3 linked regions of the Drosophila melanogaster genome follow. The protein of the gene in region 1 interacts with the protein of each later gene in a pairwise test. Each region holds a gene or a part of one and is shown on either strand. Other genes may lie near its edges.

Region 1 (7,199 bases):
ACACAGAAAAAATGGATGTTATGAAACTAAAAGGGTATCTAGAAGCACAAAACTCACTTTCTATGTGGGATTGTTGTAGTTAGTACTTCGAGTACTTTGAATTTTCTTCCGTGCAGCAGCATTTCCCCTAGTCTAAGTTCGAGTTCAAGGTGCAGCACATGGCTGTCGAGCTGTGTGGGAATTATCTAAGGAAAATACGTTACGGCGGGCGGCCAAAACACCTGTGTCAATGCCGGCAGATCGGGCGTTGCGCTGCTTAATTCTTGTAATTAATTTTGCGTGCCACAGACAGAGACAGAAGCAGACTCGCACACAGAGATAAACACACAGACGGCGGAATGGTGGAATAGGGACAATGGAGGATGTCCTGATGCACGGCATTAACTGAGCATGCAAACGATGCGTCAACGATGGTACTCGGCCCAGGCAGCTAACGCTATTATTTACACAACAAACACTTGTAATTACACAAAGGGCGGCGGCGGTGGCAGGAGGGTCCTGCAGGAGCAGGACGGAGCCGCAATTAAAAGCGAAAGGATAAACACAAATAAATGAGCGACACAAAAGGGGCAGACACGGCAAAGACAACTCGGCTGTAGCTGACTTGGCCCACTGCCACTGCCAGTACTGGCTTCCACTACTGTTCGGGCCAAGACAAAGGCAACACTCTGGGCCCAAAGACAACAATGACAAGCGGACGGCATTAAATAATTGCTCATACACGAGTGTTACGCACAAAAGCATTTAGAATGGCACTGGCCGAGGCACAGGAAGTGAAACAGGACGAGCCGAGCAAAAAACTGTCCAGCACGTGTTGCAGCTCGTCTCGGAAAACCCAACCATGTAATCCCAGCCAAGCCCATTCCAAACCATCCCAATCCGATGCGATTCCAAGCGCCTGCCGCCACCTTTTCGGCTTCGGTGTGTGAAAACTAGTTAACAGCTTTTATTTACTTGGCAAACAGACTGAAACGTTGTAAAACAACAAATGCTTAAGCCGCAGGATATAAGCATAACAGCACTCACCAGCACACACGTCCTTCCACTGCGGAAAAAAAAGAAGGGATTATTATGATGAATTGCATGCACGTCAAGATTTGTGCTTAAGAAAATATTGAGCTAAGATGCAATCTTGAGGATTTACACTTTGAAATGGGTATTCCTAATTATGTTATGTTATATATATCATGTAGACAGATGGTTAGACCAAGTAAGGCACCATTCCAGTTTGTTCCAGTTTGTTTTCTTCAATAATTTTTTGAATCTTCCCTAATAGTTTCTTGCCGTGTATGCCACTCGGGGCACGAACACGACCAGCTTGGTCAAAAAGTCCACGTTGTCCGCTGTGGTCAGCGGCATGGAGAATGGAGACGACGCTGATGGAGGCGAGCGTGCAACTGACTGCGGCGCTCGGACATCTCATAACCAAAGTGAAAAGTTGGAAAACAATAACGGGCAGCGATGCGGGGCACACATGTCCTGCCTGAGCAATCGCCTCCAAAGCAGTGTCCTTCGGCCAGGATGGCCACAACCAGTGCCGGCAGCCAGGGAAGAGGCTACACAGCGTGACAAAGTTTATGGACCACAATGGAGCTGCAGCTCACTTAGTATTCTCCGCTCGGATATAAGCTCGGTAAGGACATTCAACGTGGCACAACGACCAGGACTACTACCACACACATAAATTATATGCCTTTATTTGGGCAAAACAGTGTAAAACGCAAATGCAACCTGATGACAACAACAGGCTGCGTTATGCAGCAACAACAGAACCAGAAGAAGCCGGACCCAAAGACGTGGCAACAATGAGACTTTTCGGCAAACAAACGAGGCAAACTAAGAGCGCTTTTCAACTAATGACGACGAGCAGTAACAAAAACGTTTTCAAACTGGGCGGCGGCAACAAGTTGAGCCGTTTAGATTTAGAGCTTGTAAAGTGTGTGCGGAAAATTCAATAACCAAGTGATAACAACCTCAAGAACAGATCCAAGTTAACCCGCTGGAAGACCAGGAAAATCCACACAACCACTCGAGCTGAAGGATATCGGCAGGGTAAATGCACAAATGCATATGCATACATAGATGTATGTGTATGCGTATGTAGGCAGGCCGGAGAGATGACAACAAAAGCCAGCTTAATGGCAATAATAACAGATTTTAGCCAACCACAAAGAAAACGTCAACAGAGGCATACTTTTTGGCCACCATGCTGGCAGCAGCAGCAGCAGCAGTTCGGTTAATGGCAGGAAGTTCACTTCACAGCCAGGACGACACATCCTTGCAGCAGTCACTTTGAATGAAAATTCATTAAGTGAAAATGCCTAAGCCAGCAGATGAAACAGAAAGGAGCAGCAGTCCATCCTCTTAATAGCCGAAAAAAAAGACCGCATCGTTGGACAAGCAACCACATCCATCAGCCGGCCGATTGGCTCAATTTGCATGCAATTAAAAATAAATTGAGGCACCTTGTTCTGCGGCTAAACTAAATAGTGGCACCGCATTCGGTGGAGCCCACTTCCAATTTTCAGTACCAAACTGGTGCGGGGGTGGGGGGGAACGCGACCACCGCAGTATGGGGCCAAAAAAATTGATTTCAACTTCGGTTGCCGCCGCGTATTTATAGGCTGAATTGTCATTTTCTCCTCTTTTCTGGTTGCTGCATTTTTTTTATTATTTACTTCAACCCAATCCTGAATGCTAACAAAGAGTTCTCGAAAGGAGAGCGTAAAACAAACAAATCACGGACCGATATGCACACATAAAAATTCATAAATATTCTATTTTGAGTTGACATTTTGACAAGTGAATATGAATATTGCAGTCGCAGCGCACAAATTTATAATTGATATGTATAAATAATGGACAAAGCCATTTTGTAAATGGGTTTAATGAAATGAACGAGTGTAGCTCTTGTAATAGCTCGCCAATTACAAACAAAGCAAAACAAACAATAGTCGAAAAAGAAGAGTGGACTTTCTGGTGCCCTGGGCGCAAATATTTTTCAAAACATTTAATTTATTGTATTTGAAAAGTTGTAACGATTTTTCAAAAATATCCTCCTAAAATGGCAAGCAATTTACTTTCATTTTTTTAAGCAATAGACTTTAATAAACGTTTGATGAAAAAAAAAAATCATCAAGTTCACCCATTTAATATACCCCTTAAATCTCAATTTACAGGTGCCATCGCTTAAATAAAATATACTTAATATTTCACATTTGGCGTTAAAAGCAAAAGTACCCAAAAGCCAGTTAGCTGCAATTACAATTAAATTAAATTGGTTTATGGTAAGCAACTTTAATTATGTTCGATAGCAAAACAAACCAAGTCAAATTTGCTTTACACTTCGGATCGCATGGCACAAAATAACACCGAAAATCATGATTTAGGGTGAAAAAAATTTAAATTTAAATCGAAAGTTGTTTTCCCAGCCCTTAAAGCCCAGATGGACAGCGCCGATGAGCAGCTGCAGCTGGATCTGGACAGGATATCGATGGAGAGTCGCCAGGCCAGCAGTTTCGATGACCTCATCGAGCTGACCAACAACTCGGAGCGTCTGATGGCCAGAGTCAATTCCAGCTTGGATGACCTAAACACCGCCCTCGACAACCTGGAGGCTCGAACGGACCGGGTTCTGGTCGAGATTCGGAGGCTAATCAGCTCGGAAATGCCGGCACAAGGTCCGCACGATGGATGTGGCGATCCAGATGCCAGGGCGTAGGCGGGCGAATGGCTGTGATACGTAATGTGATAATAAATAAATGTATTTTATTTTCATATCGAAATCAATTGATGCTCAACTGCTCATAGGAATTGAAAAGTGATTGGTCGTAGCTCTTCTTCGGTTTCGAATCGAATGGGGATCGAAAACTTCGCGGGGGCATTGAGGCCATAGAGGCAGAAGATCCATAAAACGCCCGACAGTTTGTTTGTTTTTTATGAGAACTGTAACCCTAGCACACAAATAATTAGTGAGCTATTTTTATGGATCTTCGGATGCGGGGCTGCGCATGCGCAATGCGCATTGAGCAGAAGTATCAAGGTGCTGGGGGTCTTCATCCACAATCTTAATTAGAATTTACATACATTTTCAATATGCGTGTGTGTGTGTGTGTGTGTGTGTTTTGTATTTGTGCACATGTTGCACTGCATTTGAAGATCTCGTCGTGCACTTAATCACTTGAGCCGTCGGCACCATATGGGGTCCTTTCTTTTACTTCTTGTTGTCTGTGCCCCGCGGCATCTGGTGCATGGTATATGTAGTAGACTGAGCGGTATAACCTGTTAATCAGATATGCAGATTGACCCAAAAATTATGCCACAAAGCAGCTGCTGGGCGACAGCGTTTAATTGACAATTAATAAAACTTTTAATTTGAGCCCAATTGGCACATTGCACATTATGGTAATGGTAATGGTAGTGGGGTAGCATGGTAGTTGGTCAATTGGATAATGCCCACAGATCCCAGCCATTTGCACTGGTAATTCTTCATTAATCGGCTACGCAATCATTTACGTAAAGCGCAGAGCCACCAAACCTAATTGCAAGTTATGAATATCTCATCGGATATTAAATCGATGGCCATCGCTTAACTCCGACCAGCAACGACCACGATGACGATGGAAATAATAATGAGGATGACTGCGATGAATGGATTGAATGGCCTGAATGGTATCGTTCGACGACCATCCATCCGTCCGTTTATCCGTCCATTTGTCCGCTTGTCCGTCCGTTTGTCCGCTTGTCCGTACGGAAGTGGCGACACTTAATTGCGAATTGAGTGCATTTTCAATTTTTATTGAACCGGCGCCCAGTCGAGCATTATGCTGCGGTGTGGTATCATTAAATACTCGGTTGCTTTGCTGCTGCTGCGAAGTATGCTACGAAAATGCAAATTACCGAGACCGCCCAGAGTGGGCGTGGCAGTTACTGCCATGTGCTCATTAGCGGTATCTACCAGACGATAACCAGCGTAGTAATCGATGGAATAACTTGTCTTCTTTATCAGTTGGAGCACATGCAAAAATATACTCAACCCATCATCGATGAAGTCAGTCTACAGAAGTCATCCCGCTATTTCGGTCGTTAAAAAAATAAATGAAATGGGAGCTGTAACCTTCTTAACAATTATTTTGGTGACCTTGCTGGGTCATCGATCCAGTGCCCTGGAGTTCGAAGAGTGTGCCAGTGCTCCACAATTGGGAGTTTATGTCGCCAGCTCTAGCAATTGCTCCAAATACATATATTGTGCCGGTCCAGGATCCTTTGAGGCCGAGTGCTTGGATGGTCATTACTACGACGAAAAATTGGAACGCTGTTTGGATCGAAAGTTGGTGTCGAGATGCCGGGATCCCGTAGGCATAACCACTAAATCCCCCTCGATGGTCAAGAAGCCAGCTCAGAAAGCGGAACCATTGGCGATTACCCTGCGACTTTTACCCAATGCCGGACCATGTTATCCTTATATGGTCTGCTACGAGGGGGCTGGACTGGCCAAGGCCTGTACTCCTGCTCATCTAGTGTCCTGCAATCGCATGCAAACGCGAGAGAATATCATCAACTGCCAGGAGGGAGTCTATGGCTTTATGCCACATCCACGGAACTGCGCCTACTTCTACTACTGCTCCAGTGGCTCCAAGCTGGTCCATCGATGCCACTTGAACTACACTTGGCACTACGAACGGAGGTCCTGCGTCCAGCAGTCCGAGAGGATGTGCTACTCCGAACAACTTCGGCTTATACGAAATAAAATAGGAAAGGCCAACCGGACGTAATTCTAATGTTAGGATATAGATTTAATTTAAGTTAAAGATTCGTATAAATAGCTAAACATGTACACCTAGCGTAAGCAACAGTTGAATAAAGAACTGCAATTGGGAAACAAACAGGAGTAAATGCTTCTGGGTGGGGATGTGCCTTCTCCTGTGCCCTACTTCCAGTAAAACAGGTGGGAGCTGCGCACATCGAAGTGGTAGAAGCGAAGCAGCATGTAATCCTGCCACTTGGTGGGCAACAGTCTAAAGCAAGGCGACAACAATAATCGTTAGAAATAATCGCTGGTTACCTGGGCTAATTCAATTCTCACCTGAGCAGCCATACACTGAGTGCGAATATTTTTGGCACATACACCATGCGCTCGTTCAGCAACACGCCCTTGACAATCTTCTCGGCCACATATGGTGTGGGCAGTCCGGGATAGCTCTTGGCAATGCTAAATGTAGTAGCCGCATGAGACCAAGTGATCTGCCCAAACTATAAACCAATCTTACCCCGCATCACTGAGCAGTGGAAGATCTCCGCTGGTCCTCATCAGATAGGCATTGGCCACCGTGGTGCGAACGTAGTCACAGTCGGACAATCGCAGCTCAGCTCGCAGCGATTCCATGAAGCCCTCGATTCCGTATTTGGTGGCCGTGTAGATGCCCGCTCCTGGCAGTGGAACTAGACCTAAATGCGAGTTATATATACATAGGTATCAATGAAGTGGTAAGCACTTTAACCAAGTAAGCTTACCCGCTAAGGCATTTACTGCCACCAGATGACCGGACTTGCGGTTTATCATCTTCGGCAGGAACTCCTTGGTGGTCTGCAAAATCAAGAAGTTTTATATTTGTCCCATTTTCAGAAGCACACACTCACCATTATGTAGGAGCCCAGATTGAGCTGCAGTATTGTGTCGATTTCATCGCTCTTCAGACTGGGTGTTGAAGTCATGGGCATGAGGGAGGCATTGTTGACCAGAATGTCCACGGGACCCAGTTCCTTCTCCACCTTGGCGGCCATCAGTTGAAGCTCGCGAGGCGATGACACGTCGTTCTGGAATAAAGATTCTTGTTATCAAACCATTAAATATCCAAGCAGCTAGTGAACTCACCTTGTAGGCCTTGGCAACGCAGCGTGGAATCTTGGAGAGCAGCTCCACCGTTTCGTAACATCCCTTGGAGTTGACATCAACGACGGCCAGCTTGCAGCCCCGCCGCGCCAGTTCCAAGCAGATCTCGCGACCCAGCCCACTGCCTCCGCCGGTCACCTGGGTTTAAATCACAGGTTACTCACATTACACTCGTATACTCAAGTAAATTAATTAGCTTAATTTGCAAACAATCAACTCGAGCTAATGTGACTTCGCATTGAACAAAAACCTCATTTACGGACAATTATGTGAGCAGCAGCAACAGCGGCAGAGGCGACTTATGAAT
Region 2 (9,383 bases), on another chromosome or scaffold:
AAAATGTGGTGAATAATACCGTTAACAAATGTCTTTCACATGCAGTTTTTTTTTCGTAGTCCATGGCCTTGGTTTCAATTGCGAACCCATTAGAACGCAACATTTAATGGAGACAATTTGTTGGAATGGATTTTTTAAAACATAACAAACACTCTTCTTCTTTTAATTTTTAGATATTAAAAGTTACTAGCTTTTCAAATCTCAACTTAATTCAATAACAAAATCATCAATCTGCTAGCAACTTCTTTTGAATATTTCAAGGGTAGAGCATAGCATATTCGTTTTCAAGCCAGCAACTTAACACTATTATTGTTAGAAACGACATATTTTGTTATTCGAAAAATTCTCATCAGGCGAGACAACAAAAGAAAGAGAAACACCCGTCCAAAGTATTCAACGACTCATTTCACAAACAAATTTATACATGCCACCAAAAAAAAACAGTTGCTGATTGCTGGGAGAAATACAAAATACAAGACACAAAATGCGAAAGACAAAAAGAAAAAAAAACAAATAAAACAAGACACAAATTACAAGAGGGAAATAATAATAATAAAGAAAAGCAACAGAAACAACAGACATTTTTGCAAGAAAACAGTTGCAAATTAAAATCGCAGCGAGCTGAAGATTTGCGAAGACGCAGAAGACGACAACGCATTATGCACAGAAAGAAATAAGAGTCTAATTTGAAGCAATTCCAATTTGTAAGCAATACGCCAATGCAAATCAAGTTCTATACGTAATTTAATGAAAAGCCAACCATTTGGGATTCTACATAACTTTCTTGTTAAATATCTAAGTTTAGTCCCTAAGTTAAGTCACCACTTTTTTTTTTGCAGTGTGACAAACTTTTGATTTCTTTCGTTGAGGCGGGCCAGATTTTAACAGCGAAGCGCCCGCGGCAAAAGCAACAATCAACAATTTTAATAACAACAACAGCGAGCGGCAAAAGTAAGTTACTAAGTCAAAATTGGCTTATAACGGGACGCACTTTCACTTAAACGCAGCTCAAGTCGCTGCTCTCTTTCTATGCATGTGTGCGTGTGCATGTGTGTGTGTGTGTGTGGGGATGCTGCTGCCCCCAGCTACGAAAAGGGGGCGTGGCATTGTAATTTCCATAAACTTAGCAGTAGCCAAAGCTCACACAGTGGGCCAAAATGCAAGCAAAGCGGTCAAATAAGTCTATGATTCAATAGAAATATACAAAATATTCAAGTGCAATTTTTATAAATTACTATATTAAATACATTTTAAGCTACCATTACATTTTGCTTAAAATTAACTCATTTTCGAACTTAAGCTGCTGCTTTACCTGTTATTAGAAGTGAATGCACAATGAAGTGGGTGAGTATTGTAACATTTTATTGCTGTGTAATATGAATGATCATACAACTGATTACTCTAATGAGCGGAATAGTAAGTGTGCGATCGCAAGAGGGCGTTAACACGAGTGGCCACTGTACATGCGCGGACGACTACTGTGGATGCGATCCCGTTGCAGATTGGAAATCGTTAGCAGGTTACCGATATCGCCGTCTAGTAGTGCAGCATTATTGCATAATGCCAATCCGCAGCACGACAAAAAACATATAAAAAAAAAACCAAACAGCCAAACAACGCGACGCTTTTACTTTTGTTTCATTAATTATGGCAGCTCAACGATTTCCAATTATGACAGCGATTGGAAAGCCGTTTAAGCCGAGTGACCAAAAATAAGCCAACGAAAACCAAAAAAACCGAAATGACCAAATAACCAGCGAGTGTTGTTGCCCTTTCAAGAATCCCCACAGATAATCGCAGCCCCATCGGATTTTTTTGGAATTTCGAAAGGCATTTCCAAAGGCATGGCAATGGGTAATGCTATGGTAAATGGCCTCCAGGAATCCGCGGATATATTTCACTATTGTCTGGGAAATGGCCAAAACAATGCACTTGATTTTGGCCCCTGGGCGCAGGGAGAGGCTTAGGTCCTTTTGCTTTTGCCACTCAATATCTATGTATCTGCGAGATACTAGATTTTCTATCTAAAAAACTATCTAAGGCATTGGCAAGTTACGAACTGAGATCAGCATGGCTTTCCAAACTTTTCTAGTAAAAGTAAATCAAATTGAAATGGTAGTTTATGTGCATTTGGAATCCAGAAAACTGTGCTAGTTTCTTAATTCTTAATTAGACATATAACAGCGTTCGCAGATTTAATTAATCATACCCAGGCCATGCAGAATTTTACTGCCATATTGGCCAGTCGCGAAGAAAGAGAAGTTCCAAGTTCGCCTCATAATCCAATTAAGAACCGGAGAAATGTGTACTTTCAGACCTCTGATTAAGTTTAACTACTGGCCGCTGGAATTAGCCGCATTTCCTGACAGCGGCCACGCGTAATTGATTTGAACTAGAACTCACCTGGCTGTTGCTGCAGTAGTATATGTCCGACATCCTGGTTCTGGGCTCCGATCTCGATCTGGCTCCCGCTATGGATACGGATCTCGAGCTGTCCTGCGCCTGCTCCGCTATCGCGGATTCGCGCCACTCGCAAAACCTTTCAGCGTTTCCCCGCTTGCTTTCGTTATGGAAGGCGAAACAAAGTGGACAGCATGCCCACCAAATTAGCCAGGCGGTGATCCAGGTAAACTGGCGAGCAGGTGAAGCAGCCCTAGGTGCTGGCCAAAACGACTATAATGGCTGGCTATGATGGCAACCTGTTTTGCTGCGCCGCGGAAAAGTGTCACACAGCCCCGCTTGGCTTGCAATCGATATGGCCAGTTGACGTCGCCAGTTGTTGCGATCTTTGTTTTTCCTCAGCTGCTTTTTTGTTATGTTTTTTTTTGTTTCGTTTTTTTTGGCGGATTAGGTTTTCCGCATATTTATCCGCATTTAGGCAGAGGCACACAATACAAACAAAACAAAATACAAAATAAATACATATGTGTATATATAATATTTATATATATTAAATGCAAACAATGCCGCACTTCACGCTCCGTCTTGCAGAACACACGACCGCCGCTTTTGCCGCTTTTGCCGCTTTCCATATGCGCATGCGCGCACCTTTCTTTCTTTCGAATATATCGCCAAGTGATGCACTCCGTATGCTGGAAATGCGCGATTTGGGGGAATTTTTGGGATCTGAGTGCCGATGCGATGAGAAAAGATGCACGACCGTCTCGAGCGGAGCTAAAACGCTAACTAACTTGGCCCAAACGGGGCGACTTCTTCGGCGGCCGCAACGAAAGTTGTCGCAACCAGTTTTCAGTCTTCTGATGCCTAATATTTGCCCACTCTACACGCGCCGAAGAAATGAAACAGATGATGTGTAGAATAATATTTGGAGTAATTGTTTCAAAAGAGTATGAGTTCTAAATCGCTTAGTTTATTTAAGATTGGAAGTCTTAATTTTCAGCGTTTGGCATGCTTAATATTATATGTGTTATTTGCAGTATTGTTACATACAAATCATTAAATCATTTCAATTCTGTTCTCTGTTTACAACTGATAAGTGTTATCTTATGCAAAAAATTAAACCAAATTTCTCTCTGTGTAACGAGAATAACGCTGCACTTTTAAGCCGGTAATTTATGCGATGATTAATTCGTATGAAGCGGAAAAGATCCTGGCCAGATATACATAAGTACGCACATACGTTTGTATGAGTGTTAGCTGATAAGAGAACTGAAAATAAAACAAAACATTTAATTTTACGTGGTAAAAACTTCAAAAAAAACTTCTATCAAAACTGTCAAATATTTAACAACAAATCATTTAAAGTCAAGAACAAAAATAAAATATTTACAATACAGTTCTGAACTTAAATAAAATAAGTGAACTATATTTAATTTGAAGTAATAAGTTTTAAAAATTCGTTTAATTTTGAGAGCGCGAATAAATTAGTTGAGTGGCTCCATCTGTGATTTGAGATTTGAAGCTTGATACTGAGTTCGCTCACAAGTGAATGGCCAAACAAATTGAACAGCTGTTCACTAGCGTTGCCAACTACAGTAACACTTGAACTTGAAGGTGGTAATCGAAGCAGGTAACAATATCAAATATATACTTTTTGAATAGAAAACTAATTTCGGAGATTTATAAATTGGTGTCGCACATAAATTTATATTTAAGGAATAAATTTAAAAACCGATAAACTATTGCGATTGACCAGCTGTCAACGCGGCAGTTGGCAACGCGGTCGGTCTGTCAAAGCAAAATCCGATAAAAAAAAAGTTGTCTCCACATTAAAAGATCACAGGAATATTTTCCAGCATTTCGGTAGGTCTTCGCCCACTTTTGGCATCCTCCAGGATCCCCATTCAGGTGGCAAATGGCGGTGCAGTGGAGGAGCTGACTCCGAAAACGCACACGAATCGCGAACAATCGATATGCGGGAGTGTTGTGCCAACCAGCGTACCAAAACACTTATGTAATTTTTATTGGCTCCTCCGATTGCAACGGATTTTTGGTTACCATCTCGTTGCAGAAAATATGATACGGGCACCGCTAGTCAAGGCGCTGGGCGCTCTGGGCTCGCCCACACATCAGATGGCCAGCCGGGCGGTGCGAACCAGCGCCATGGTGGCCCAGACACCGGCGAAAGCGCCCGAGAAGATCGAGGTCTTTGTGGATGACATTCCCGTGCAGGTGGTACCCGGCACCACTGTCCTCCAGGTTGGTTTCCAGTCCCTCGTTCGCGGGAAGTGCCTTCTAAACCCATATCCCCTATGCCCTGCAAATCCTAGGCTGCTGCTCAGATCGGCGTGGAGATACCCAGATTCTGCTACCACGAACGTCTTGCGGTGGCCGGCAACTGCAGGATGTGCCTCGTCGAGGTGGAGAAGAGTCCCAAGCCAGTGGCCGCCTGCGCTATGCCCGTGATGAAGGGCTGGCGCATCAAGACCAACTCGGATTTGACCCGCAAGGCGCGCGAGGGCGTCATGGAGTTCCTGCTGATGAACCATCCGCTGGATTGCCCCATCTGCGATCAGGGCGGCGAGTGCGATCTGCAGGATCAGGCCATGGCCTTCGGTTCCGATCGATCCCGCTTCACGGACATTAACTACACGGGCAAGCGGTAAGGAGAATAATCCATAAAGTTCCTTTTCCATAACCTGAACTGAATTCTACCTAATGCGTTAACAGCGCTGTCGAGGACAAGGACATCGGACCGCTAGTCAAGACCATCATGACACGCTGCATCCACTGCACCCGCTGTGTGCGTTTCGCCTCCGAGATTGCCGGCGTTGATGACCTGGGCACCACTGGCCGTGGCAACGACATGCAGATCGGCACCTACGTGGAGAAGCTCTTCCTTACCGAACTGTCCGGCAACGTGATCGACCTGTGCCCCGTGGGAGCGCTGACCAACAAGCCCTACAGTTTTGTGGCCCGTCCCTGGGAGATCCGTAAGGTGAGCAGCATCGATGTGCTGGACGCCGTCGGCAGCAACATTGTCGTCAGCACCCGCACCAATGAGGTGCTGCGCATCCTGCCCCGTGAGAACGAGGACGTCAACGAGGAATGGCTTGCTGACAAATCGCGCTTCGCCTGCGACGGTCTGAAGCGCCAGCGCCTGGTGGCTCCCATGGTGCGCATGCCCAACGGCGAACTACAGGCCGTAGAGTGGGAGGGTGCCCTCATCGCCGTGGCCAAGGCCATTAAGGCAGCCGGTGGACAGATTGCCGGTATTTCTGGCCAACTTGCCGACCTGGAGGCTCAGGTGGCCCTGAAGGATCTGCTGAACCGTCTGGGCAGCGAAGTGGTCGCCACTGAACAAGGATTTATTGCCGGAGGCACCGACAACCGTGCTAATTACCTCTTGAACAGCACCATTGCCGGTTTGGAGGAGGCCGACGCCGTTCTCCTGGTGGGCACCAATCCCCGTTACGAGGCTCCATTGGTCAACACCCGTTTGCGCAAGGCCTATGTGCACAACGAACTGCAGATTGCCTCGATTGGACCCAAGATCGATCTGTCCTACGACCACGAGAACCTTGGCGCCGATGCCGCTTTAGTCAAGGACGTGTGCTCCGGAGCTCATGCCTTCTCCAAGGTCTTGGAGGGTGCCAAGAAGCCGGCCATCATTATTGGAGCCGATTTGTTGGAGCGTGCCGATGGTGCCGCCATTCACGCCACCGTTGCCGAGTACTGCAAGAAGCTGAAGAAGCCGGTAAGTTTGTCATCCCTTTGCTCACATGAATTCCTGCTTAATCTCATGCTTCGCTTACAGAACTGGAACCCCTTCAATGTGCTGCAGACCAACGCCGCCCAGGTGGGCGCCCTCGATGTGGGCTACAAGGCCGGTGCACAGACCGCTGTGAAGGCTCAGCCCAAGGTGCTGTTCCTGTTGAACGCCGACGCTGGCAAGGTGACTCGCGAGCAGCTGCCCAAGGACTGCTTCGTGGTGTACATTGGATCGCATGGTGACAACGGCGCCTCCATTGCCGATGCCGTTCTGCCTGGTGCCGCCTACACAGAGAAGCAGGGCATCTACGTGAACACGGAGGGCAGGCCGCAGCAGACGCTGCCTGGTGTTTCGCCACCGGGTATGGCTCGCGAGGACTGGAAGATCCTGCGCGCTCTGTCCGAGGTGGTGGGCAAGCCGCTGCCGTACGACAACCTGGACGAGCTGCGCAACCGTCTGGAGGATGTGGCGCCACATCTAACGCGCCTGGGCCAATTGGAGCCAGCCGGCGATGCCGGAGCAGCGGGCACTATTGTAAGTTGAAATTATGCTCCATTGAAAGTTGTAATTTATTACTGTTTGTTTGTTTGCAGAGCAAATCCATCGGCGGTGGCGCCATCGATATTAAGCTAAAGGAGCTGCGCGACTACTTCATGACCGACGCCATTTCGCGCGCCTCGCCCACCATGGCCAAGTGCATATCGGCGGTCAACAAGCAGCAGCGGGAGAACGAGGCCAAGCAGAGTGTGGCTATCTAGGCGCCCACTCTCGCGTCTGATCTAAACTAATAACTAATTAATGTTTTTTTTTAAACTCTGCCCTTCGTCCTTTCGCGCCGCACTCGCCCACTAATTAACGGACACAAAGACACCAGGACGAGCCGCGGGAAGAGCCAGCGCAGTAGCGGGATGAGGAGCACGATCGGCGGCTGCAGAGGCGCCAGCGCTGCGTCAGTTGTAAATGAAAAAGTCTTACGTTGTTCAAAACAAAGGAGTTATTCAATACGAAAAATAGGAAAACCAAAATAAAAATGTAATAGAAAAAATATCACAACAGCGACTTATCAATGGGTTGGGTTTCACTATGGGTATATTGGGCTATTCCAAGTCGCTTGGTTCATAGTATAGCCATCTCGCTTTGTTTCGTGGCATCCAATCGGAGATACCACCTCGAAAGTGTTCCATACATACATATATGATTAATGCTAATTCCTTATAGAAGCTATTGAATTCTCTTTGCTGTTCATTAATTGATTGCATCAATTTACTGTCTTAATTTGATTTTGATTTGCTTGCGAGGATTCCTTAGGTCATAAACTTCAACCTTTTCGTAGCTTCTATTACACTTTATCACGCACTGTTTTTCCTTTGAAAACTAAAGTATAATTTATTACCCACTGATATATGTATCTCCAGGGTGCCATCGTTCGTAGCTGATTTATAGCCCTCGAGGGCAAAGATTCCCCTAGCAATGGCATTAGCAATTAGTCGGGTGGCTAACAAGTTGTCAGGCTGGCAGACAGAATCGATTTAGCCAGGTCAAGTCAAGCCATTTGCATGGCTAATGAACTTACTTGATTGAAAAGGCAGAGGAAGGGCTAAAGGTCGAGGTATGTTTTAAAGGAAATGCACAGAACTGAAACACAGAGGGGTTTGTTGGTGAAAAATTATATTCTTCAACCGTACATTTAGGGGATTTCATAGTTAATTTCATAGGTTCAAACAAATTCAAAATTTTGAGTGCATGTCGGCGGCGCAGCAGTCGTGGGTTGGGCTGGTCGCGCGGGTAGTTCCACTGGTGTCGTTCCACCCGCCATCGCTGCCCAGTGCCCCTCCCTTGCGCAGAGCTATTGTGTTGGGTGTTAATTGTGGAAACGAAACGGAACTATTGAACTCATCGATCGCTGGGCCGCGACAACAACCATTCATCTACGGGATTTCGGGTGGAGCAAGCGGCTTCGACACGTCCCAGGCGGCTGAGCTGCGTTCCCGCTTTAGCTGCAGCAGCTGGCCGGCGTGGGGTCCAGTCCGGAGCGCTTGGTGATGGCCAGCCGGGTGAATTCTTCGGCGGTAGTGGGATGGATGCCCACGGTGTTGATCAGCGTGTTAATAGTCAGGCCAGACTTCAAAGCGGCAGCGAATCCCTGGATAACCTCACCGGCCACCGGGCCAATATAGTGCAGTCCATAGACGCGCTGGTCACCATGGCGCTCGGCCACAGCCTTCAAGTAGCAGTAGCGCACGCTCTTCTGGGGAATGAAGAACTCCGTGGGCTTGTAGTAGCCGTGGAACACCTCGATCTCATCGGCTCCGAACTGCTTGACGGCATCCTCCTCGCTCAGGCCGACGCAGGCGTACTCCAGGGGCGTGAAAACGGTGGTGGCCACATCCTTGTAGTCCATGCGCTGGGTAGATCCTCCGTACAGGCGGCGGGCCAGCAAACGGCCAGCCAAAACGGCGACGGGCGTCAGCTCTGGCTTGCCATAGATGATATCGCCGACAGCGTAGATGTTTGCCACATTGGTAGCCTCCTGGGAGTCCACTGGAATCTTGTCCTTCTGCACAGTCACGCCGGCATTGGGCAGGTTCAGATCGTCCACCAGACCCTTGCGGCCGATGGCCCACAGAACGGTGTCGTAAACATCCTCGGCCTCCTCGCCGGTCTCCACGTTCTTGTACTTCACGAGCAGCTTGCCATCATCCTGCTTTTCCACGGACAGCGGCACCGTCTTGCGGAGGAAGGGAATGCCACGCTCCTCCATCGAGGCTGCCACCAGCTCGGCCATCTGCTGGTCGAAGCCACGCAGCACAATAGAACGCACCATCACAGTGGGCTCGTAGCCGAGACCCTTCAGGAATCCAGCGCACTCCAAGCCAATGTCTGAGTGAAAGAGCAGAAACCGAATGGGTTATTCATCAATTTGATGTAAGCAAATGAAAGTAGCTACTTACAGCCAGCTCCCACCACCAGGGTCTTGCCGGGCTCGCGGTCCAAACTGAACAGATCATCGCTGGTGATGCCATACTCGACAGCACCGGGAATATCCGGATAACGTGGTCGGCCGCCAACGGCAATGACGAAGGTCTGGGCGGTGATTGTGCGCTCGCCGCTCTTCAGCTTGGCCAGCAGTGTGTGCGAGTCCACGAAGGAGCCCAGTCCATTGATGTACTCCACTTTCCTGAGCGCAAATAGAAGGGTATAATTAGTGGGG
Region 3 (7,155 bases), on another chromosome or scaffold:
TCTAAAGACATTTGCAAACTTTCCTTAAACCATTGCATTCGATCAGAGCACTATCTGACTCTTTCACTCGCTATCCGTCCCACTCTGGAGCGCTGTCCAGATCGGGGGAATCTATCTGTGATCTCCGATAATATTGAAATTATTTTTCGGCAGTGACTATTGTTTGCATGCTAATTTTTATCCGAAAGCGGAGGCTAGATTAGATTATTGTTTTTTTTTTTTATTTTTTTTTGTTTGTTTGCGTCTGCCTGCCGTCTGGCCACTATAAAAACCAGGCCCTGGGGCATTGGCCATTAAGTTTGTTCAGTCACTCCGATCAAGCAGATCACCATGAAGGTCTTTGTCGTTCTCGCCGTAATCCTGGCCGTGTCCAGTGCCGCCCCGCAGTTTAATAATGGCAATGCTAACGCAAATGCCAACGCAAATGCTGAGAGTGAGGGCGGTGGAAGACCAGGATTCAGCGGACCTGGTTTCCAGAAGGAAGGCGGATTCGGAGGAGGATTCGGGGAACGAGGCCCTGGATTCGGAGGACAGGGTGGATTCGGAGGGCCAGGACAAGGTGGATTCGGAGGACCAGGTGGCTTTGAAGGACAAGGTGGATTCGGCGGACAGGGTGGATTCGGAGGACAGGGTGGATTCGGAGGACAGGGTGGATTCGGAGGACCAGGAGGATTCGGAGGACCAGGAGGACCAGGAGGATTCGGTGGTAACTCCGAAGCTAACGCCAATGCCAATGCTGTCGCCAACTCTGACGGAGGATTTGGCGGTGGTAATGCCAATGCAAACGCCAATGCCAATGCCAACACCCGAGGTGGCAGTGCTAATGCTAACGCCAATGCCGTCGCCAACGCATTCCGCAAATAAGCCAACAGATCCGAATTTATTCACTGAGTAGATTTTTAATATTTATAAAAATAAAAATAAAAAACACAAAACTATGAACATTTGTAATTCTTGAAAGGCATGTCATCACAGTAATGAGGTCCATGCAAACAAGGAAAACTAACACAGAATCCTTTTTAAGTATAGATCCACTAAATTGAATGTGCATAAAAAGAACATGTGCATTTTTGCACACATCCAATTACATTTTTTTTTCCAGGGGAATGCTTTGTCAAGAATATTTTGATAATATTTTATTTCGAATTTATGCATTTCTATTATGAAAATATAAATGAAATGATTCAGTCGCAAAATTGTTCTAGGCTGATAAAATTACAATTCATACATTGAAAGCGTATTTTGTAAAAATGTTTGTAGTCTTTTTGGAATAAACAAAGAAAAATATTTTACTCTTTAGATTTACAAATTATAATTATAATGTGTGTTCCACTTTCTAGAGCAACAGAAAAGAACAGACATTTCGAAAACATCATTGATATGCAGACTGTGTGCTTTGATTAGTGCAAAAATTAACTATGATAATAATATGTAGATAATTTAGCTAGAATTAAAAACTAGAAAAAACGCTATAGCCGAGTTCCTCGACTATCTGATACCCGTTACTCAACTAGTTCATTTGGCACATCAATAGATAGGAAAAAATGGTAATTAAACAAAAAAATATCAAAAGCATTTTTCAAAAGTGCAACGTCCCTAAAATCTGAATGCAATATAGATTGAAAATGCTCCTTCTATCTGTTTCATACATTCTAATAAGCCTAGCATACCCTATTACTGTACGATTAAGGGGTATAAAACTAGTTTTATTTCGGAAAGGTTTGGCTACCGTAAACGTAGAAACTTATCCAGATGTTGATAATTTGCAAATTTAAATATTGCAAACCCGAGTTTTAAGAAGCTTGACAATATATCAAGAGACGTCGGACTTCATTTGTGAAAAAATATCTTCGATTTATTAGACCTGCTGAAATTGAGTGTGTCACTCCGTAAGTGGCCAAATTCAAGACTTGTTGTGGGTGGCAAATGCAATTACTTAATTACATAAAAAAAGTAATCACACAAAAAAAAAAAACTCACAAATTGTTTGGATTTCCGGGTAAGCTGTACAAACAAATGATGAATGAAATGAGCTTAATGATTTTAAATATAAAAATAAATTAAATTAAAATTGAGATGCACTAACTATTTGCAAAAACTATATATATATAATGCATACTTTTCAGTTGTAATTCAAGTTGTTAGATACATTTTAAAACATAGTTTCTAATATTAGCTCCCGCTGTTAACTTAGTCTGTTTTTAGGAGGCTAGAGAAATCTTGTTTGACGTCATTAGATCTATAAATAATGCCCGACTCATAAACTGGTTATTAACCTAATATACGAAAACAACATCTTGGATTTCCAAAAACAGAATTAGCATTTTAATATTTATTGGTATTGGTATTGGTTTCAGTTTAGTAGGTCTGTCAGCGGACGTGCCCACTTTTCGAGAGTACAGTTATGAATCCGTTTCGAGCCTATCCATGTCTGCCATGTCCACCTCCACCTCCTCCGGAGCTGGCGTTGGCGGTTGCAGTGGCCGAGGCCGAGGCGGAAGCTGGGCCGCCTCCTCTGCTGTCGGCGGTTGCAGCGGCATTCGCGTTGGCAACTGCGTTCGAACCGCCGACTCCACCGACTCCACCGCCTCCACCGCCTCCACCGCGACCACCGCCACCACCGCCTCCACCGAATCCGCCGAATCCACCAGGATGTGCCTGAACGGCCACCAGGGCGAAGATTAGAAAAATGCAGATAGCCAGGAACTTCATCGTTAGAGATTGCGATGTTTTGTGATCGCGTGCTGGCCTCTTTTATACCAGCATCCGTGACAGGTGGACGACTTGTTTATCTGAAAAACAAAAAAAATCACAGAATCGATATTGTATCGGCATATATATGGGGGCTTCGATTAGCACATTAATTAGACATATATTAAAAACGCATGACGTTTAATATTACCTATATGTATAGTATATGCTTATATACTATGTTATCAATAATTGAAAACTGGTTAGCTTTGGCAAGCCATGTTTTGGTAAAGTATATTTTCAGGCTGTAAAAAAGCTCAGATAAATTCATTATGATAATCAGCTATAAAAACTAGTTTATCATGTAAGTCCTTAGATTTGCTTCTGTTTACACATTTTATACAAAATTCCTTTTCCGGTGATTACAACTTTTGAACCCGAAAATTATATATATATTCTTCACTTAATAAATAATAATTAAAAATTAATAAATTTATATTTATAGTATATTATACATAGAAGGTAAGGCCATTGTGTTGATAACGTTTGGCAAAAGTAATAATAGAAAAATGTCTTAGTCTTTATGCAATAATTATGCATTTGTTTATTTTTTAAAGCAATTGCCGTTTCTGGACTGCTGTTATCATCATTCCTTATCCGTAGTAAGCACCCGGACTGTAACCAACTGAGTTTGCGTTTGCATTAGCGTTGGCAGTGGCTACTGCGCCTCCACCACCACCGCCGTAGCTACCGGGTCCGCCGTAGCCACCGAGTCCTCCGTAGCCACCGGGTCCTCCATAGCCACCGGGTCCTCCGAAACCAACGCGTCCTCCTAAGCCGCCAAGTCCTCCCAAGCCACTGAGTCCACCGTGTCCTCCGTGTCCAAAGCCACCGTGTATACCAGGATATCCTTGGACTGCCACAATGGCAAGGAGCAGGATAGCGCAGAGTGCATATAATTTCATCGTGGGATGTCCCACTATCCTGTGTTTTTTTTTTTTCGTATGACAACTTAATTTCCATAATGAAACAAAGAAAGCAAAAATAAGTCTACTTAACTTGTTAACAATGGTTAACTAGAGCTTAAATATATAAGTGGCATAGTTTTCGGCTGTAACAGAAGTTGTTTTTATTTTCTGCGAATGAAGCTTTTATAGCCAGAGCTTACTGTAGCAAGCATACAGTGAGAAATATTTGCGAATCTTTTTGTTTTACAAATCAATCTACTGTAGTAATTTGGGTCATTAAATGTCCAGGATAAATTTATTCATAAGCAAGGAAAATGGAGAGATAGAGAAATTACTTCAATGTTATGATAGAAATAACTAATCTATTAATTTCATTTCTGCAATTGTGGTTACCATCTTAATATATATATTTTTCTTCATCCCGTTAAGCTTATGACTAACTGCCTGATATCGGTACATCCCACGACCTAGAGCTTACTAAGTCAGTTGGCTTAGTAAATAAAGGCCAGTTAAGTGGCCAAAAAAAAAAAAACCCGTATCGCCAAAACCTTCGATCCGCATTCATTCGAACCATATTCAACATGCAGTTTAGCGACTGCCGCTCAAGTTCAAATGGAAATTAGCGCTTGGTGTTTGTTTTATAGCCGATTGCTTTCAAATTCCATCGAGGGTGAGGCATAGCAAACGTGATACTCATTGCAAAACCCCCAAAAAAGCCCTGTGCTTCTTCATGGATTCATGGATTTTCACAAGCCGATCGATGAATGAATAATCTGCCAGGCGACCCAAGCCTGCAGACCTGACCACACCAAACCAGTCAGCTTGACTGGTCCACGTGTCTGTCCATCGGACTAACTGCGTCCATGCCGGAACATAAAGCCCAAAAATGTATGACGACAACTCTTGAGGAGATTGCCGGTTTTTCTTTTTCTGTTTTTTATTTTTTTTTTTGCAGGTGGGCAGCGATCAGCTTGTGGGCTGCTGAATGTCTGAGCTTGTGTTTGACTTGATTTCTTGGGTGCGCTGCTCGAACAATATACAAAATGATTCATATTCAGTGAATTAGATTTGAAAGAAGTCTATACTATATTGAATACTCTACATTGAATGCTCTATATTAAAAACTCTATATTGAATATTCAATTTTAGGAATAGACCCTACATAAACATGATTTAAATTATCTTTCCCTCTGCTACTATTAGAGGGTATCTTTTGGATCACCTCAGCCAATCACGTTTCGTTGCGGCAATATTATGTCCCATTTGAAGATCGATTTTCGGATCAACAATGTTTAAAATACCTACTAACGCTTTGTGCAATCGCCAAAACAAACACAAAACGAAAGATGGGTGTTCATGTTTTATTTATAATTTATAAAATCGCTTATCTCACGCATTTCTCCTCATTTTTGTCATTTGGCAGACCGTTCACAAATTTTGCACAATATTATTTTTGTTTTGTTTAATGTCTGTGCGGATTTGTATTTCCATCGATATCTTCTTACGCATCGTTATTTGTTTTTCTTTTTTTTTTTTGGTTTATCACACTGTGCGGATCGTCGCATAAAATTTAAATATTTTTGTTTATAACTCGTTTAGAATTGAAAATTGCCTAAAACAACCCGAGCATCAATCTCCACATAATGGCAAGTTGTCCGACCTTGACAAGGTCGTGTGGTGCTGACCACTCACGAGCGGTTGGTCCGCACCACAGACGAGTATCCGTAGAGCACCTCCACTCCGTCGGAGTTGAAGATTCGCTCCACACGCGGAGCTCGCGTCTGAATGGGGCGTTCTGTGGTGGTGGTTGTGGTTGGAGCACTGGTGGTGCTGGTGGTACTTGTCGTAGTTGGAGCTTCAGTGGTGCTCGTCGTAGTTGGAGCCTCAGTGGTGCTCGTTGTAGTTGGATCTTCAGTGCTGCTTGTGGTGCTCGTCGTAGTTGGAGCTTCAGTGGTGCTCGTAGTGGATGTTGTGTCCAAAGCACTCGTGGTGGTCTCTGGCTGGAAGTTCTCCAATGTTCCCACCTTGGTGGTGATCAGAACAGTCTCGGTGGTTGAAGTGGAGGTGCTTGGAGCTGTTTCAGTGGTCTCCTCAGCCTCACTGGTGGGTTTAAATGCAGAGGACAAAACTAGTGGCAGTTCTGTGAAAAAAATATGTATTTAGTTAACATATTGTTGGCAAGGAAATGGGTTTCGTAAATAAATAAGTCACAAATATATTTTTAGATTAAAGACACACCTGTAGTTTCCTCAATGGCACCCTCAGTGGTGGCTGCCTCTTCCTTTACTGTGGGCACCACCGTAGTTGATTCCGGTTGTGGTTCAGTGACGATAGGAGCTGCATTGCTAACGTATTGGTAAACAGGCACCACTGTGGTTTCCACCGTCTCTGCCTGATCAGTCTCAATTCCGGTCTTTTTATCCTCTTCCACCAATGCGGCGTCGGTGGTCATAATCATGGAAAGCTCTACGTTCTCATGGAGGGGTTCATTTGTGGTCGTTTCCATTCGGTTCTCGGCCATGTCCAGTTCAATCTCTTCCATATGTGCGGGCTTCCGCTCGAAGTAGTTCCTTATGGTTTTGACCTCCTCCTTGACGGTGGTTTCCTCGGTCTCAGCATTAGGAGTCGTGGCTCCGTCCTGTGGCAGAATAGTGGTGATCTCCACTCTTCTAGTGGTTGTGATGAAATTCGGTGGCAGTGTGGTAGCTCCGAATTTGTAGCTCCGCTTGGTGGTGCTCTCGGAAACTTCAGACTTTGGTTGCTCAGTACTTGTTGATGTGGTCTGATCCTCCTCCTCCGAGTCCGAATCGAGGTCATCTTCCGGCTTTTCGGGATTCTTGAGCTCCTCCTCCTGTGCACGCTCCATCTCAAGCTGTTGCACCACCGAATCCGGAAGTGGCTCCTCCGTCGTAACTATCGGGCTGGCTTCGGTGAAGGCCTCCCCCTCAGGATTGGTGGTCAATATCACGTCCGAGTCGACATCTACCGTAATGGTGCTCTCCTCCACGGACATATAGGTGGAGGAGTCCACGTCCTCGGTGGCTTCATACTCCGGCGAAACGGTTGTTTTCTGTGGCGCAGCTCTTGCGTGGCTGTAAACTGCGATCAGTAGCAGAATGGCAAAGGTCCGCAGCATTTCGGCGGATTTTTTGTTTTTTTTTGGTATTCGCGGAATGCGAGGCGGTTCAGTGGCTCGCTGGCAATGAATCAAACGAGTGTGGTGGTTCGAACGTGCCGAAAGCTACGTTCACTTTGGCTCTGAAAAAACTTGCTCCTGATTCCAAAAGCTCTCTCTTTCTGCAGAGAAAAAAGGTGGTTTATTTTTACGATATTAAGAGAGGAAGGGATCTTACAAATAACTGAATATTTTTAAGCTGTTTTAGAGCTATATGTTATTCACTGTTTATATTAGCTTTTGAACGATGCTTTAGTTAAAGTTATAGTCATTCCCACTTTTCCTTTTCTTTTTGACAATTGCACTAAAATTGATAGTTCA

The links. The genes of interacting proteins can lie anywhere in the genome.
Region 2: the proteins of CG13838 (region 1) and ND-75 interact in a two-hybrid assay, tested with the Drosophila melanogaster proteins (one large-scale study listed by BioGRID).
Region 3: the proteins of CG13838 (region 1) and CG17107 interact in a two-hybrid assay, tested with the Drosophila melanogaster proteins (one large-scale study listed by BioGRID).

What each region holds. Positions count from the first base shown.
Region 1 is NT_033777.3:23,038,888-23,046,086, forward strand, and holds CG13838 (uncharacterized protein), read left to right. Parts: upstream 1-3,353; 5' UTR 3,354-3,445; coding exon 3,446-3,721; 3' UTR 3,722-3,782; downstream 3,783-7,199. Other genes in the region: CG13837 (uncharacterized protein), read left to right, coding at 5,103-5,774; CG17121 (uncharacterized protein), read right to left, coding at 5,930-6,017, 6,086-6,211, 6,270-6,447, 6,514-6,586, 6,640-6,816, 6,875-7,030.
Region 2 is NC_004354.4:8,246,477-8,255,859, reverse strand, and holds ND-75 (NADH dehydrogenase (ubiquinone) 75 kDa subunit), read left to right. Parts: upstream 1-4,172; 5' UTR 4,173-4,263; intron 4,264-4,408; exon of another isoform or gene 4,409-4,471; 5' UTR 4,472-4,476; coding exon 4,477-4,659; intron 4,660-4,730; coding exon 4,731-5,062; intron 5,063-5,130; coding exon 5,131-6,157; intron 6,158-6,217; coding exon 6,218-6,706; intron 6,707-6,765; coding exon 6,766-6,930; 3' UTR 6,931-7,209; downstream 7,210-9,383. Other genes in the region: CG1632 (uncharacterized protein), read right to left, coding at 2,404-2,436; Trxr1 (thioredoxin reductase 1), read right to left, coding at 8,166-9,052, 9,124-9,350. UniProt on the Drosophila melanogaster protein: Core subunit of the mitochondrial membrane respiratory chain NADH dehydrogenase (Complex I) that is believed to belong to the minimal assembly required for catalysis. Complex I functions in the transfer of electrons from NADH to the respiratory chain.
Region 3 is NT_033779.5:10,677,548-10,684,702, reverse strand, and holds CG17107 (uncharacterized protein), read right to left. Parts: upstream 2,738-7,155; 5' UTR 2,713-2,737; coding exon 2,422-2,712; 3' UTR 2,175-2,421; downstream 1-2,174. Other genes in the region: CG7299 (uncharacterized protein), read left to right, coding at 331-864; CG17105 (uncharacterized protein), read right to left, coding at 3,345-3,656; CG17104 (uncharacterized protein), read right to left, coding at 5,348-5,799, 5,898-6,795.